2 linked regions of the Drosophila melanogaster genome follow. The protein of the gene in region 1 interacts with the protein of each later gene in a pairwise test. Each region holds a gene or a part of one and is shown in the gene's direction. Other genes may lie near its edges.

The links. The genes of interacting proteins can lie anywhere in the genome.
Region 2: the proteins of CG12825 (region 1) and CG5104 interact in a two-hybrid assay, tested with the Drosophila melanogaster proteins (one large-scale study listed by BioGRID).

Annotation. Positions count from the first base shown.
Region 1 is NT_033778.4:7,787,431-7,790,495, forward strand, and holds CG12825 (uncharacterized protein), read left to right. Parts: upstream 1-1,775; 5' UTR 1,776-1,825; coding exon 1,826-1,928; intron 1,929-1,990; coding exon 1,991-2,070; intron 2,071-2,146; coding exon 2,147-2,282; intron 2,283-2,342; coding exon 2,343-2,458; 3' UTR 2,459-2,558; downstream 2,559-3,065. Other genes in the region: CanB2 (calcineurin B2), read left to right, coding at 1-102, 161-331; CG12824 (uncharacterized protein), read left to right, coding at 2,972-3,065.
Region 2 is NT_037436.4:20,519,473-20,522,965, forward strand, and holds CG5104 (uncharacterized protein), read left to right. Parts: upstream 1-1,536; 5' UTR 1,537-1,683; coding exon 1,684-1,755; intron 1,756-1,942; coding exon 1,943-2,112; intron 2,113-2,187; coding exon 2,188-2,305; intron 2,306-2,682; coding exon 2,683-2,814; 3' UTR 2,815-2,962; downstream 2,963-3,493. Other genes in the region: mTerf3 (mitochondrial transcription termination factor 3), read right to left, coding at 145-422, 482-1,268; Pss (phosphatidylserine synthase), read right to left, coding at 3,172-3,209.

The DNA of each region.
Region 1 (3,065 bases):
CAGTTCAGCGTCAAGGGCGACAAGCTGTCCAAGTTGCGCTTCGCCTTTCGCATCTATGACATGGACAACGATGGTTACATTTCCAATGGCGAACTGTTTCAGGCAAGACCCGCGAACATTACGTTAAGCTCATTCCACTGAAGTGTTTCCCCTCTAAAAGGTTTTAAAGATGATGGTAGGCAATAATCTGAAGGACACGCAACTGCAGCAGATTGTGGACAAGACGATCGGATTCGCGGATAAGGATGAGGATGGCAAGATCTCGTTCGATGAGTTCTGCTCTGTGGTCGGCAACACGGACATTCACAAGAAGATGGTAGTCGATGTCTAAAATAGGTTTAACGCAGATCCTTTTCTACGCGATGTTATTTATTTATTTTATACACGTCGGCATCCTTCGATTGTCACTATCACCACTATTCATATGGTTATTATTTTTGATCGGCGATTCTCTATAGTTAAATATTGTTATGAGCCTTTGGCGAGCCAGTTCAGTTAGTCAGTCAGTCAGTCAGCCAGCCAGCCAGTCAGTCAGTACAGCGATCGAAGGCTTAGGGAGAAATCGCGAATGCAATGTTGTTATCCTAAGTTGAAAAGTGGAATAATGCGCCTCCTACTTACTTCTTAAATATATTCATCTATATACTTATATATAAATGCATATATAGTCATAATTTATTATACAAATATACATTTAAAGAATTCAAAAACCCCAGAAGCAAAACTAAACTTAACTAAGGCGGAATCCAAGTTCGTGCAAGCAAAGGCAAATAAAGCAACCCAAGTTGAACGAATGCTCTATCGAATGCACTTTCGCTCTATCATATTGATGTTATATTTCTAATTCTCCTGTGATTTTGCCAAAAACAAAACAAAAAAAAAAAAAAAAAAACAACAAAACCAATCGAAATGCAACAAATCGAAATATGAAGTGCTTATGATGAGAAAGGACAGATGCGCGGGGCAGCTAAGCAACCTGCCCGAAGGAGGTCTCCTCTATTGACTTAGTCTTATTTACACGTTGTGTACTTTTTATATATTTATACATACCTACTTGTACTAATCGAATGTTATAACCTACGTAACGTATTTTTATATATCTTGACTAACTTGATAACACCAGAGGAAGGCGACGTTTGCCAAGTTTCTTAAGTCTATCTTAACCAATTTCTAACGCCACTTAACTCAAATTAATCAACGATTCTCACGCAGAACGTAGAACGCCTCGAACGTTTTCTAAAATACGCTACATTTTGCAGTTTATAACGCGAGTTAACTGAAAATCGAATAGTTATTATACATCAAAACATACATATGAAGCAATGCCGTGCGGTGATATTGCAGTAACATTTTTTTATACCTAATTATACTAGTTAAAGATGCAAGAAAACCAAATAGTAAAACGCATGTTACAAATTTTACAATTAACAAATTTTTGCACACTCGCCACTCTCAATTCGTTAGCTAATCAATTAAATTCCATTGCATTATTCAAAGTAATCGACTCGAGGTCGTATCTCATTGTAAAATGGTGTAGCCACAAGTTGGGAACCCATCGATAGATAGGCCCGCATGGATTGCCCAGTTAGCTGGCCAGTCGAAGCAATAATAAGCGAATCCTTCAATAAAATTATAATTATACACTAACCAACAAAGGTTTTCTTCAATTGTTGTTGCGCTGGTGGAGGAGCTACAGTACAATATGAGATTAGATAAGGTCTGCGGCAAAAGCTAGCCTGCTCACCCATCACCACCATGAATACTCCCGTCCAGTTTAGTTGTGAAATAATCGGCGGTCTGCAAGTTACTCTGCGATTTTGGAAACATGTGGAAGCTGGACACCAAAGGAGGAATCATCTGCTCGGGCTGCCTGTCCATAGCCTTTGCCATAACCTATCTGGTTTTGATGGACGATTACTTCTGGAAATGTAGGCGCATATACATACCAATCTTGGATATCTTTGCGATGCATAGAGCTATTTCGTTTCAGATGGACTCTACGAGATGGGAATACACATTTCGGCGCTGCAGATCTTGGGAAGCGTGGTCCTCATCGTTGGAGCCATAAAGGTTAGTTAGGCACACTGTGCACAGTCCACAACACTCTTATCTCTTATCTCTTTGCTCTGCTCTTTGCTGCATACAGCAAAAGCACAAGTTCTTCGTGCCGTGGATGATAACCACAGGATTCTTTTTATACCTGATGGTGAACCTGTTCATTTCACTGATAGTCCAGGGCACAGCTTGGATCTTCGGACCATTGATGGTCGTTCCGTTCACAGGTGAGGAGTTAACGCAGCCAGAGATTGGACAGCCAATTAACCAAAATCCTTCACTTTCAGCCTATCTGGGCTGCGCCCTGTACTCGGTGCAGAAGGCCTTCGACAGGATGCGCAAGGAGGAGCCACCGGCATATGCCAGCTTGTCCGACAAGAAGGAGTTCATCAATCACATATAGATACATATATAAGCAATTTCAATACAAACAAAAAAAAGATTAAAGGTAGATCAGATAGCTGGAAAATAAAAGCTCATTTTAAGTGCTATTCAAACGAAACAAACCCACAAGAAATCGGTGTAAATTTAAACTTTTCTAAAGTTTATTACAATTTGCAATGGGAACTATAAACTTTAAGGCAATCACTTTTGTGAACTATTATTTTCAGTGTGCTCTGAAAATATATTTGTTATCTTTTTTCTGCGAAATTTCGTTTCCAGCTCACATCTCTGTTATCTCTGACAAAGGTAATTCTGTTTTTTTTTTACTTTTATCATTTGGCTTTTAGCAAAGCTTGTTTTCTATGATGCACAATTTTATTATCCCTTTTGCGGTGCCTATATATCCCACAAAGGCTTTTATGTATATGCGTTGTATATAAAGCAATGGCTGATTAGATAAGTATTAAAAAAAGCTTTTTAGTAATGGAACAATGGATCATTTGCGAACAAAACGCCCATCGAGGAGTTGGAAATGTGGAAACCGGACTCCAAGGCGGGCATTATTTGCTCCGGGGCTGCATCGATCTGCCTTGCGATCGCCTACCTCATCATATTCGCCAACTTGA
Region 2 (3,493 bases), on another chromosome or scaffold:
TACATCTGGCATCCCTTGTATCAAGTAAATTTATTGGTGGTTATTTTTAAAATGATAAAACTTGGTTTCTGTTGACTTTTGAAAATATATGCATATGCATATATGAATATGAAAAGTATATATACATTTACTTTTATTTTATTCTTATCTCGTTTTCAAAAACAAATCAAATGTTTCCAAATCACTTTTAGCCACATTTCGGACGAAATAAAAGTTATTGCCTTCCACTATAGTTTTTGGCGATATATACAGGTCTTTTTGCGGATCATATTGCGCTCTTCCAAGCAATTTCAGGAACTCATGACGTTCCCGCAGTCTAAATTCGCGTGAGGCCAAAAGCTCCGGGCACTGGACAATCTGGGCATGTGGAAGGCCCATATCCTGGTGAATGTAACTAAATCGCTCGACAAGATCATCCGGAGCTGCAAGGATAAGTTGTTTAATTACAAATGTCCTTAATTTTGAATGTAGATAGACTTACGAATCATCAAGAGGCGCGGCTTTCGTACCACCAGGTCACTTAGCTCCTTGGCATTGAATCCCATTTCCTCCTTAAGGGTGAACACAGACTTGCGGAGGTGTTCCATATTGTAGGTAATGGCATTGGGTTCTCTGGTGGCCAACAGTCGCAGATCATGACCACTCAATTTGAACTCCTTTTGGAAGTAACCCAATCGACGATCCACTCGCCTGGTGGAGAACATCAGCCAATAAGGATTCTGGGTGAGAATTCTTTGCCTGGCTTCGTCCGAGAATCTCTTGCTTTTTAGATAGTTCACTCTGGTCTGCAGATCGTCCAAGTCCTCCTTGAACAGCAGCGGGTTCTTGGTGAACATCCTGCCGAAGTCATCGGGTGATACGCCCTGATCCACCAGGAACGTTATGTAGGGCTTCACATTTTTCTCGAAATCCAGCTTCAGTACAAAGTCTCCCAATCCCTTTCGCCGTTCAATACTGTGCAGATCCACTCCCAAGCTGAGAAATTGCTGCAGGGTACTCGAGTTGTTCACATAGGCCGCCAAATTGAAGGAAGGCACATGGGCCTCCCGATTTCGGAAGTCCAGAGCCACTTCTTTGGAGCCTTCACATTCCGCAGGCTCGGTCTTCTTGTCATTCTGTTTGGTGGTTATACCCGGTGATGTTAACACTTCTACCTCATGGTGGACACTTTGTTGTCCTCGCAGATTTCGTATTTGTGAGGTAATTGTTGCGTTTTTAGCCGCATTTTGTGAATTCCTCAAAATGTTACGTAGAGCTGAACAAAACATGCTGGAGGCGTTGCCAGATGTCGCGAATGTGACCAGCAGTTGGCTGCCAAAGTTTCTAAATATGGCATGCTAGCTAGAAAAAGCTAAAATTATATTTTGAATATGATTTTGATATAAAAACATATTTGTTTTTAAATGGATATTCTTGAACAAAAATGCACTACTAATATCTGATTTCTTTAGTTTTTTTATGAAGATATATATAAAATTGCAAATTGTTGGTATAATTTTTAATCGGACGGTATATGTTAACGGTTACCACCACGGTCACACTAGGTATGATCTTGGATTTATTTTGGTGTGAAAATTCCGGAGCATAAAAACAGAAGAGACCCTTGTATGTGCAAAACCCCCCGAGAGGAGTGCCGGTAATTCCAAGTCAGCCACCTGTTGAACATTATTCAATCGCCGCATAATGGACAAGTTGCGCCGCGTTCTGAGTGGAGATGAGCCCACTCCGGAGGAGGAGAGCAGTATCATTACGCAGGTGAAGAAATTTTCTAATGGTACAGATCTCATTAGATCCCTTAACATATTCTGGCTGGAGGAATTATGATTATGGCGTGGCTTAGGAGCTAGCCGCTGGCAACGCCCCGCGATCACATGGCGCCCCAAGCCGTGTGACCCAACGCTTATCAAAGTATTTAGTTAATATCAATCAATTACATACGCAGATCAACGACATGTCCACTTTGAGCTGGTCCACTCGGATCAAGGGATTCGTCATCTGCTTTGCCTTGGGCATCTTACTTTCCCTACTCGGCTCGGTCGCCCTATTTCTGCACAGGGGCATTGTGGTCTTTGCGGTCTTCTACACTCTAGGAAACGTCATCTCGATGGCCAGGTGAGCGAGTTGCTGGTTCCGTTCCACTCGTACTTCACACAAGCCGGCTAATGAGTCTCTCTTCTCCGGTTTCAGTACCTGCTTTCTCATGGGTCCCTTCAAGCAGATCAAGAAAATGTTTGCGGAAACACGGCTGATCGCCACCATCATCGTGCTCGTCATGATGGTCCTGACGTTCATCGCTGCTATTGTGGTAAGGCGTCCATGCTCAAATCGAAGATATCACAATTATTTAGGGTTCGGTCGTTAACTTTTATAATCAAGTTAGTTTTATAGCGATAGCATGACGAATTTGTTTGCAGGTTTTGTAGAAAACTTTTCCTTAATGTTTAGACTTTAAAGTTATCCAATGAAATAGCGATCCAAATCTTATACATACTTCATGAACTCACAGTAAAGTTAAATGAAAGCTTTTAGCATTTTACTTTTAATATTAATAACACAGTTTCACATGCCCTAGCAATTAAATTCTGAATATTGGTTTAATTCTTATTACTTGAACAAAAAAACAGTACGATGCAATCGATGTGTGCACTTAATATGTTATTATTTTTATTTGATTGGCTTTAGTGGAAAAAGGCGGGACTCACGCTTATATTCATTATCATACAATCTCTGGCCATGACCTGGTACTCGCTGTCGTACATCCCCTACGCCCGCGATGCGGTCAAGAAGACCATGTCGGCAATTCTGGAGGTCTAGAATCAGATGCGCTTCTGTACATAGCTCGAGAAAAGCCAGATTGGTTTGTAGCTTAAGCTAAGACAATTAAATCTTTTGTATTGTATTAACCTAGCACTAGAACATAGAATGTCCTTTATATTCTCTTATTAACAAGTACAATAATTCCATTTTGTCTTTTTAATAAATATATATATATATATATATATATCTTTTATACATATATATATATATATTTACATGTTATGTATTTAATTTAATCAGTACAGTTTTCTTTAGTTTATGTACATAATTCTCTTCTCTGTTTTGGTTTTTAATTTAAAGAATGGCCCGATCCACTTTGTTTCTGCAGCTTTAAAGTTTATTTATATCAACTTCTTATTTTAGTTTCTTCTCTTTTTGCGGCGACAATTTACCTAGAAAAGTGAAATGAAAAATTGTAGATCAAAAGTAGCAGATATAAAAGTTAACAATAACTGGTTAGACTATTTTAATTTTAATATCGTAGTGCATGATGTTGGGTGCATCAATGGAATTACTCCTTGGCAATTGTGCTTTTTTGTGGCAATGCAATCCGCGGAGAATCGGAGAAGGAGAAAGAGACAGAGAAGGGGAGAAACGCAAGGAGAATTTAAATTGAGAGCAAATTGAGTTGATAAAACATTGTGGTTAACCATAAATTGAGCCAATAATAAAGAAA